Linked DNA regions of Neodiprion lecontei. The protein of the gene in region 2 purifies or fractionates together with the protein of the main gene of each other region. This does not show direct contact. Links are inferred from orthologs where the notes say so. Each region holds a gene or a part of one and is shown on either strand. Other genes may lie near its edges.

The links.
Region 1: the proteins of pre-mRNA-processing-splicing factor 8 (region 2) and splicing factor 3A subunit 1 purify together in Homo sapiens (affinity purification with mass spectrometry; 4 studies listed by BioGRID and IntAct, with this or other methods). This does not show direct contact. The link is inferred for Neodiprion lecontei from reciprocal best matches to the Homo sapiens genes PRPF8 and SF3A1.

What each region holds. Positions count from the first base shown.
Region 1 is NC_060260.1:1,607,055-1,612,910, reverse strand, and holds the start of splicing factor 3A subunit 1, read right to left. Parts: upstream 3,540-5,856; 5' UTR 3,345-3,539; coding exon 3,239-3,344; intron 2,976-3,238; coding exon 2,645-2,975; intron 2,564-2,644; coding exon 2,404-2,563; intron 2,336-2,403; coding exon 2,054-2,335; intron 1,933-2,053; coding exon 1,825-1,932; intron 1,665-1,824; coding exon 1,499-1,664; intron 1,416-1,498; coding exon 732-1,415; intron 654-731; coding exon 592-653; intron 472-591; coding exon 364-471; intron 263-363; coding exon 89-262; intron 1-88. Other genes in the region: FAST kinase domain-containing protein 4, read left to right, coding at 3,945-4,091, 4,269-4,730, 4,793-4,942, 5,044-5,289, 5,371-5,515, 5,602-5,685, 5,785-5,856. UniProt on the Homo sapiens protein: Component of the 17S U2 SnRNP complex of the spliceosome, a large ribonucleoprotein complex that removes introns from transcribed pre-mRNAs.
Region 2 is NC_060264.1:1,831,266-1,836,425, forward strand, and holds the start of pre-mRNA-processing-splicing factor 8, read right to left. Parts: upstream 3,549-5,160; 5' UTR 3,349-3,548; intron 2,859-3,348; 5' UTR 2,839-2,858; coding exon 2,619-2,838; intron 2,431-2,618; coding exon 2,262-2,430; intron 2,169-2,261; coding exon 2,004-2,168; intron 1,894-2,003; coding exon 1,678-1,893; intron 1,303-1,677; coding exon 964-1,302; intron 720-963; coding exon 614-719; intron 360-613; coding exon 1-359. Other genes in the region: complement component 1 Q subcomponent-binding protein, mitochondrial, read left to right, coding at 3,966-4,182, 4,343-4,493, 4,579-4,781. UniProt on the Homo sapiens protein: Plays a role in pre-mRNA splicing as core component of precatalytic, catalytic and postcatalytic spliceosomal complexes, both of the predominant U2-type spliceosome and the minor U12-type spliceosome.

The sequences.
Region 1 (5,856 bases), on a different chromosome or scaffold from region 2:
AAGAATGTTAAAGCACGATTTCAAAATGCGCACAAATGAATAAGGACAAGTGGTTTCCGATATATGTATGATAAATCGCAATAATCACCTCGTATTGAAGCTTTTGTTTCCCAGGCGGCATTCCAGTCTGTTCGTGAATGCTTGCCTTCATTGTAGCAATGGTATCGCTCAATTGCAGCGTGATGTTCAGAGTTTGTCCGTTCAACTTCCACTCAGCTTTCTCGGTCATCATAGGAACGGCGATATTGACTTGCACCGGACCCTGAACAGCGGATTACATTGTTAAAAATTATAGCTTGAACGTGGGATTGTTGCTTGAATAATCCTGCGAAACGAGAAAGCAAAACAATTAATAACACTTACCTTATTTCTAGCCAAGAACTGTTGCTCCGGTATCAAGGAATCTTCGGTACGCAATTTCTTTGCTTGCGGTTCTTCTTCCATTGGCTCGCCAGGATGCTTTATACCAATCTACAATTTTTTGAACGGACAAGTAGATACGTAACGAAACAAAGTCGGGAATATCACAAAAAGAATAACGATTTTACGGCTGCTGTGCGTGAAATTTTAGTAAATTAAAGTAAATCTTACCCCACTTGGTAACGGCGGCTGCATCGGGGGTGGCGTTGGCATGAACGGCGACATTGCTGGTGCTGCAATATTAGAAAACACAATGAAACCTTACGTGATGAAAAAATTTTATTACTGCAGAAAGACGAAGTGAAACTTACTCATTAAGGGGGGCGGCCGAATCGGCGGCATGGGTGCCATCATCATCATAGGTGGTTGAGGCATTATGGGTTGCGGAATACCCATCGTCGACATTCCAATCGAAGGGGGTGGTGGTTGAGCAGGAACCGGTACGGGTTTGGGCGCGGGTGGCTTTGGAGGAGCTTTCAGGGTCGCCTGAGGCTTGGAAGCCGCAGCCGCCATGTGGGAGAGTTCAGCAGCTCGAGTGGCGGGTTTAGGCCCGATTTTCTCCTTTTCCTCATCAGGCAGAAGGCCTTTAACCTTATGGATTTGATGTATTTGCTCTTCAAGTGTAATATTAGCGCGAGCGGCGCGCGTAGCGGCCTCAACGCTCGACGTGTGACCGTCCCACGTAACCTTGTCGTCTTTCTTCTTGTCCTCTTCACCGATCTTCTTACCAATAGCTGTCTCCTCATCTCCCACACCGAAAATATCCGTACGCCGCTCGGCCAGCTGCTTCAAACTTGCTTCTATCGCCGTACCAGGAGCGAATACGGTCTCTTGGGCCAGTTTGTCCAGGTGCTTATCACGCTGCTCCACCCAGCGAGGATCCAGCAGACCAATTCGCATGTGTTCTTGCACTTTGCTTGCTGGGATTCTCTCCCCAGTTATAGGAGATATCAAATACTCATCTGGCGCAGTGGGGCGAGTATTCTTCACGGAAGCTAGATATTAATTCGTTGGATTAGATGGCGGTGTACGATGTTGTCGACGAATAACCTAAACTCGAGACACTTCATCAGCTTACCATGTTGTTTCGGATCGTACCCCTTCTTGACGACGACATTGCCCGGGGTTGGAGGTAGCGGCGGTGGTTGCATGGTATCGCGGTGTCTCTGGTCTTTGCCTCTGTTTGAATCTCCAGGAGGCGAAACGTCGTCGTCATCACTGGAATCTTCCTCCATATCTTGGACCTGGAAAAACTGGTGTTACAATGTCTGATACTGCTGACATGCGATATTAGCGATTATCTCCTAATAATATAATGATAAGCACAAAAATAATTGCGAAATTCACATAAAATTCTCATGCATGGACAGAATTTTTTAATTCACAGTATTTCTTGACATTCACCTGGTTGTTATCTTTTGCTCTGTCTTTCTCACCCTCGCGAGAGTGGAGCTCTTCATCCCCGTCACTTTCAATCTGCATTTCCACCTCCTCTCCATCCTCAATGCGTTCCTGAAAGAAAAACTCACTCAGAACATGTCCTAATCCGGTGATACTAAATTAAAAACTTATTCAATCGTGTCGTGTGAAGTTGAATAGCATTTGAACAGTTTACGACTGAAAATCCACGCACCTGCATCAAAACACGAGCTCCAACCTCGTCCGGAGTTGTGGGAGCGGGGAAATTCCCAACTTCAAACTGTTGGTAGTCAACCGTTTCAACGACAACAAAATCATGCCAATCAATTTGAGCATAAGCAACTCTTTCACGCTCTAATTCCTCTTCCTCTTTGCGCCTCTGTGCCTCCTGATACTTGAGCCACTCTGCGCGATATTTCACTTGTTCTAATATCTTGTCCATGTTCGCGGCTTCATCTCGCAGCCGAGGAAGTAAATCTTTCGGAGGAATCAGCACCTGTTGCACAAATAAATGAAATACCAATTTCTATTCTATATGCATTTCTGTATTCGAACCGGGCTTACCTTTGTATACTGTTCAAGCAGCTTAGTGAAATATTGAAAGAGAGAGTGCTGAGGACGCAAAAAGTCAAATTGAAAATTCCTCTGCTCACGATTCATTAGATTGGTCAAAAATTGGCGCCCATTACGAGCTACAAACTGAGCTGTCAGTTTGACAATGTCTCTGTAAAATAATTGACAGTTTAAAATGGACCGGATGCAATACAAAATAAATTCAGTAAGAGTAAAATAAAAGTAAGCCTACAAATCTAGAGCGGAAATAGACGGGGGATCAGCAATGAATTCAAAATCAACTGGCGGATCCTTGGGTACGAACGGCTGTTCGACTTGCTTCAAAATTTCTTGTTGTTTCTGGTGGGCTGTGAGATTCACACCTTTACCAACGCCCAGACCGATGACAGGCTCCTGTGCCTTTCCCTCCTTGAATTCCTTAACTTTGTGCTGATAATAAGCATGATACGGATCGCCAAAGTTGAGGAAATTGAACTTTGGGTTGCCAAGCTCGTTTTGACGGATCCTCGACTCAAACTCTGGGCCATTTCTAGCAACAAAACTAGCCGTCTTATCAACGATATCTGATCAGCTGTGTAAGGAAATTGATACCTGAAAGATATTTCCGTGATGATTTGTTATTTTTACAACATCGACTTACGATTCGCTCTCGTTTACCCACTGGCTCTTTCAAAAGCGGTTCGATTGATTACTATCCTCCACCTGAAAGGTGCGCGTTACGATCAGTTACAAAGTTCTTACACATTTTAAGCAAATTTAGAAGAGCGGGTGATGAGTGAAAAAATGAAAAAACGTTGCTCGAAAATTCAGTTTCGATAAAGGATACTCCTAACCTCCGGGGGAGGGTATATGATGCCGACGATCGGCTGCGAGGACGGCGCGGCATCCTCGACTTCCGCTGGTTGGGGAGTTACTATTTCTTGAGCCGGCATTCTTTCCGTAGCTCTATTCGCAACTCGTTGTAACAATTATTCACTCGTCATTTAGAAGGGCAAAAATTCAACTAAACTCCGCAGCGAGAGGAACGTAAAGGCACACAAGAATCCGAAATCAGGGCGATATCCAGACTTCAAGGAACTCAATGGAACTACCATAGACTACTAAGAAACACCAAAAGGGTCCGGGTGTGCGAATAATTGAACAGCGAGCTAGCTGACATGATCTCTATTTGACTGTTGGTTGATCGTTACTCCACTAGGTTCGCATTGCGCCAACCCGTCAATGTATTCTTTGATATGCTGTCAGAGTTTCGTATCTACGGTTCCTTTTAAATACAGACTGCAGAGCGAATGTGCAGCAGCCGCATAACCTCAATATGAAATCATAAATTGATAATAATATAATTTATAAATACGTATGATCTGTGAAATAATCGTCACACATTTAACCTGTAAATATAGAGTGAGTGTCATTTATAACATCACCTGTTACTCTTAGTGTTATGTCACGTGTTATTGGGAACAGAGTAGGGCTAGTCCTTCTGCTTATATGCTATGGCATATTACATAAAGAATTATTCATTTTCCAGATTAATGGCAATGCTACAATTTGGCGGAACCATGTGTAACGTGGTAACTAGGTTCGCCCCTCGTACGATATGGAGGATTAATTCGCAGCAGTTGTTAACACTCAGCAGTTCCGCAGCCCCTGTTCCTGACATTGCTTCTATTGTTGACAAGGTTTGCTATCCATTGACAAAGTAATACACAAACTGGTAGCTTAGTTTTTATTCCCTGCTTAACTTGCCTTCAGCTGTCTTTTCCTAATTTTATTACATTTATTTCTATTATCGCCTACTGCACAAGTGTTCCTAATCCTTCTTGATCACTTGTCATTTACTGTCTCTTGAAATTCAGCAGCCCAAGAAACCAGTCCAACAGCAAACCAGTACAAAGCAGAGTAAACCGAAACTAAAGTCCGAAAACAAACTAGTCGAAGCGGCATTTGCCGCAATACTGAATGACACGAAAACAGTGGCCGATAGGTCTTCAAAATCCTCCATTAGAAAAGATATTTCTGAGGCTAATACCATCGACAAGTTATTAAGCATAGCAGGAAATGAGAAAATATCTCAAAGAGATGGTCTCAACATTATGTCTATTCTCTCCGAGTGGATTAATGCAAAGACAATCACTCCGGCAGACTTTGAGAAAGATCCGAGGTTCTTGTCGCTTTGCAAACAGCTTGCAGGACAGGCTGAACAATCGACAACATCCAAACCCCACGAACATGGTGATTTAAAAACTGTGCTCAGCCTTGCGGGAGATGATGAGGCAGCAAAACTCATTTCTACCCTATCTCTCGCTCAGATGACCCAGGTCAGCCCTAATTCGGTAAACATGCAAAGTTGTTTTCTTTTCCTAATACATTCTGTTCTTAGGTACTTACCACCTTGGCTCACAAGCGGAGAAGATCCCTACCCATATTGAGATCTTTGTCGTACCATATCTCTCGCAGCACTGAGAAAATGAATGTAAAAGAATGTGCTGACATTCTATTTTCATTGGCTGTGCTGAACTTTCCAGATGAGGTATGAAAACGAAATATTTTTTTCTGCTTATCATTACTTAAGACAAAATATCAAAGATCAACACTTTTCTGGCATGTACAAATATTGGGAAAAATGTGTAGGTACTGATGGAGAAAGTTAGCTCAGAATTAATCATACGTATTCCTGAGAATAATGGTACCGCTGTAATAGGCTCAGTCGTAACATCCTTGGGCTTTCTCCGATATAAAAATACCGAACTGTTGGATGCGTTATGCGAATGGATCTTGGCAGAGCCACGATCACTGAAGCCACAGTACATCACATCCCTGTTGTTAACTTTAGCCACTGTTCAACACATACCTTTCAACATGACAGAATTGCATAAGGTACCAAACTTACTTAGAATTGGTTTTCCTCTCTTTTCTTGTCTGCGAAGCTTTTTCAATTTTTATTACTGAATGGTCTAGGCATTCATAAAGCCATTGAAGGAGACTGATGTATCCGCTTCGGAAATATGGCTTGATGTTGTCTGGGCAACTGTAATTCTAGGAATAGCAGATCCTGTCCAAGTTGCTTGCACCTTGAACTCAGTTTTTATCCAAAAATTGACAGGTATCTCAAAATATATTTCTGAATTGAAGTGAAACTGGGTCGTGAATACCATTGATCCTTATCACGATTCTGGTTAAATTTCACAGACTTACAATGTCTGACGGTGCCAAGGAAGGTGAAGCTGCTCAACGTTAATGCTGCAGCCAAATTACTAATCCCAAATTATACGGGTAAGTTTGCAGTTGACTATGGGCCATCATTCTAAAATAATTGAAAATATATTTAATAAATGTATTTCGTTTATCGAGAGATCTGATTATGTGATTTAGGGCCATTTTTAAACGAAGACCTCAATTCGGATGAGACATTCATCAATAGACCCAAAGAAAAACAGCTCTATG
Region 2 (5,160 bases):
GTTGTAGTCTGGAAGAACTTGGTCGATTTGAAAGACCTGAAGAGGTATCGTTTTTTCTGTGGCTTTGGAGGCCTGTGTTTCAATGCATTCAGGACAAAGTACTTTAGCAATTTCTGGTAGCTGACACGAACTTTGACTGGCTGTCCTGGTGGACAATGTTCGCGGTACCAAGATTTTACCAGGGGAATATCAATCGCTCGTCTAGTTCTGCCAGATCGCGTGTTAAACGGACGTGGTGCCCAAAGCAAAGCAATTCCATTAGCCGTGTTGTCTGTATAAAGCGGAGTCTCCTGCAAAAATGGCTGAACCTCTTCAGGCAGTACAAAATCTTCATCTTCTTCAAGAAGAGGCTCCATTGTCTACGGAAAGAGAGGATTTTCTAAAATTAAATTGCGAATTGTGGAGATTTTGAATGAAACTCGATGAATAAAATACAGTGTCGTCATTTTGGAAACTCCGTTAGTCATGCTGCGCTAACGCAGGGCAAAAATGACCCTTCATCTACGAGCTATTTTAGTTGAACAACTCATTGAACAGGGATGTCGACGTGGAACAGCTCGAAATCAAATATGATAATCTCTACACAGCATTTATTAAAGTGCAATGGATGTACCTTCAATGAATTTCGGTGTGAAATCGGGTTGATCAATGGGTCAAAATAAAAGGCAGGTAAATCTGGATCCTCGGTCTTGATGTAGACAACGTTAGGAGCGTGGTACCTGCGACCAGGATGTAATTAAACAAATACAAGGATAGTACTGTTAAAGTTAAAAATTTGTCTGTGATTTCAGCAGTCGCCCTCTCTCCTCTACGAGGGTGACGAATAACGATCACTAAATATTTTACCACACGGCTAGTAAGACCACATATAATTTTAATATTGTCTTAAAACTGGTGTGGATATCAATATAATAACAGAATCTTCAGAAATTTAAAAAATAATCTGCAAGTAAAACTACCTACCACGAAAGATGAACGAAGTGTGGCATGTTGTTGTACAGATAAGGAAAAGCGATACGATATTCCGTACGAATTGGTTGTCGGATGATTATTTTATTTATGTCGTTGAACTCGTTCCAATCCTCATCAGCAGCATTTGAATCCTTCACAAGGGGCTCAAACTTAGGACCGCCAGGAATGGCCATGTTCAAAGCTTTTGCAGTAAAGAACGACTTTGGATCAAAGAGGTAGAAGAAATTTTGATCAACCAAATCAGTCAGCAGCTGATTGGCCAACCGATATAATGTTGCCATTTGTGGAAGGGACAAGTTCCACTTACGATAAGTTGATCCATTAACATGCCTGGAAATTATTAGAAAAATTTCGTTGCATGAAATAATTTTGGTCATGTTTCTTCAGGCTGCTAAATTTTGAGTATATACGTAAGTCTATTTCAGATTAGCGTTTGATCCAATCACAACGTTGCATTTGTTTTATCTCAGACAAGCAAACAACAACGCTGCAACCGTCAGACCACATGAATGACTGATTTCAGGACCCCTACGCGATTCATCATGAAATTGGTGTATAAATGACGTATATTGTCAGGAGTTGGGCAGCAGGTCATATATTGACGCCAAAGCTGCGAAAGGTCCTGATATTGCTAATGAAATAATTCAGTTCACTTTCAAGAAAAATTTCAGCTGAGCTCAGCATCATAATCAAGCATTTACTTACTTCGTCCCAACCAAAGGTTTGTGCTCGTAAAACCATGTAGCAACCGATTCGTCTTCCTCCGAGTCAAGCTCGATTTGTATGGCTTCCAAAGGCTCGACATCCAACACATTGTCTGCATAATCTAGAGGCGGTTCTTCGTCATCGAACGGAGGAAATCTCATTCTTTTGAAATGTCTTCTGTCTCGTTTCTCACGCCTCATCATGATCCACATTGTTCTTAAAATTAAATTCACTAGATTTTAATCACGATCAAACATTGGGCCGAAGTAATTATTTGACCTTTTTTTCTCTCTTAACAAAGAGCTGGAAATTCTTTAAAAACTCACCCCCACTGAGCGATATAGACTGGTTCAATGACCCATGGAATTTCATTGACAAATGTGATGGCTCCGGTGATATGATACAGCACTTTGACGTCCCGAATTTGTTCCCATGGCATTGGCATGTTTTCCAACAATTTCATCACAGCATGAGGCATGTATTTCAGAGCACTGTAATTAATATAATGACCGTATAACAAAAGGTGAAGACAAAATTACAAACAAAAAATAGAGCTTCATTGAACACTGATACACGATAATTACCCCAAATAAACACGTTTGTCATGTCTGTATTTTCGGCTGCTCATATCTCCATGATCTCTAATAATCTTCCTTATGTGCTCAGGCGGCATATCCTCCTTCTGAGCATCGACGAACCCAAATTTACGTTTTTCCGCAAAACGTTTGGACTGTAATTGCTGCCACTTTTGAGCTAAAATTTGCAGAAAGTGGGATAACGAAATCAAGTTATCTAATCATATGTGAACAGTTTTCATCAATGAATGTTATTTGGAAATATATCAATTTTTTAGATGTTTTCTTCAATCACTAGAAAATAATACACATGCGTAGAGGACCTTTTCTGTCTTTCCAACATTAACAATAATAATCCATTCTTACCTTTTTCCTGCAATTTATCTTCGGAAATAACTTCGGGCTGCTTAGGCAGCTGCGGTAGCGGCGGCCCAGCCATTGCTTGCATGTGAGCATGATGGGCTGCCTGAGCATGAGCCGCTGCTTGCGCGTGAGCTTGCGCAGCTGCAAGCTGAGCGTGAGCCTGCTGCTGGGCCATCATGGTGGCCCATGGGTTTGGGCCCAGCAAGTAAGGCGGTATAGACATTTTGACGCTGACTTATTTAGCTGAAAAGAAATTTTTTAAATCTTTGATCAATCAGCTAATTATTATAGAAATTATGAGTTGAAAAAGTAGTATAACTAGACGTAAATGAGCATATAAGAAATCGTGCCAATTGACCTAGATATCATACAATCCGAATTAAATACGTGAAAGTAAATCAATACGGAAATACAATGTGGCAAGAAAATGTCACGTAATCTGTCAATCATTTACAGAGTTATTGAGTAATAAAAATGCGGCGTTGAGGCCTGTAAATACACATCCTTTGGTTATGGTTGACTTCCATTGTCAAATTGGGATCTTAAAAGCTTTTATTACTTTTATTCGATTAGTGAAATAATTATGATATTTTTGAGGTTATATAAGCAAAAATTTCCGCTTAGTGATCAGTCAAAATCGACGCCGACCGTTGATTTTCATTGGCGAGAATGCGGTGAGGACAAAAATCGTCAGCCATTTTGATCACGAGAATGTCGTGAGTGTTGTATTTACCTTGGTTTCTGTTGCAAATAGGGTATCGCTAGTTGTTCAGCAACATCGCGCCCAATTTGCTCTTCCAATTAATCAACTGGTGTTATTTGGCACCTGATTTTCGTCCGTCTATACGTATCTTTGCGAAACGTATCTCCTACGTTTACAAGCCGACATGCCGAACGAAGACGAAATTACTCGAATACTCGAAATCAGTAGCGCCGCTACAAAATGGCGGCTGCGTTTACTAAACTCTTTGTAACACTGAGTCGACTTCCGGTCACTAAGGTTACACGCATCAACCGTCGAGAAAAATGCCTGCACTTCGGCGTGGAAAGTCCACTGAAAGTCACATTATACGATAATAATTTTCACCCCATATCCGCGTCTAAGTATACCTGACTAGTTTGTGGTTTTGAGCTCACCTTAGTGAACATCCGGTCGGCGAACAGGGTAGAGGCAAGTATGGTAGAGGAAGACGAGAATACAAGAGTGAACGTAGCCTTGACGCAACCTTTTCCGCGCAAGGAGTAGCTTGATCGCGAGCCGTGCCAAGTCGTGCATCAGCCGAATTTTAGAAAACAGTGTAAATTAATTACAACAATTATCAACGGCGGTATAAGCCAGAAGACAGAAAGATGAACGGATTAGTCAGAACCGCTCTGAGGGCCTCAACTCTCAAGGGATTAACACAATCTACCGTTGTTGTCGGCGGCACGGCACGAAGGGATTTCGCAAGAACGATGTGGAACATGTGCAGCCGGCAAAACGAACTTGCACCACTAACGAGTTACAAAATTCAAAATCCCAGCGATTTTTGCAGCTGCGGCTGCTCCCGAAAGGCACACACCAAAGGTTAGGGTCATTTTTCAATGTCACCTCGTAACTTCTCCGCCCGAAATATAATTTACTATTATTATTATTATTACTATTATTTGGTTTTTTTTTTTAGTGATAATTTTCTCTCTATTTATTCAATTGCAATTTTTTGTCATTTACATGGTTGATGCTATAGCGGAGAAAGAATTGGGACTCTTTTTAGCTGAAGAAATTGTTGCGGAAAAGAAGGCACAAAAAATGAAGACCATTCCCACAGAGTTAGACGGCTTTAAGATATCGTTAGATGGAGCGGAGGTTACGCTCACCAAAAAACATGGAGATGAAACGTAAGCCAAAAATTGTTTAGCGATCTTCTTGCTATAGTTATTACAATTTTGTGACAAAAACTTGACTGAATTCGTAATTTTTTAGCATAACGATAAATTTCAATGTCAATCATACTGTCGATTCTGATTCTGAACCCGACATTGACACCCCAGAAGACAAGGCTGAATTTGGAGAAATGAAAAGCAAGCCAAGCTTCGAAGTTGATATTGAAAGAGGAAATCAAACTCTAGGGTTCACATGTTCATTCAATAATGAACCGCAAGCTTCTGGTGCCGATGATGGCTACAGTAAGTTTTTTTTTCCCTCCCATGGACCAAATTAAATTTTAAAAAAATCTCGCCATTACGAAATATTGAAGTTACATTTTTTTCTTTATTTTCAATTTGACTAAATTTACGCTGCATTCTGTTTTAAAATTGTGGTTGATCGGACGTGAATGGTATCCAAAGCGTTGAGTACAAATTGACAAACTTTTTGTCTTTTTGATAATTTACCTTTGGAAAAGTAAAGTGCTACCGTTGGCATTGGGTAATATCATAAACAACGAAATTATCTCAGTCACGGTGGATCGACAAACCCTTATAAAAGTGCAACATTGCAACTTACGTAAATAGAAAAATGAAAATTAAACAGAGTAGTAAGTTCACTACATGAAAGAATTTTGAC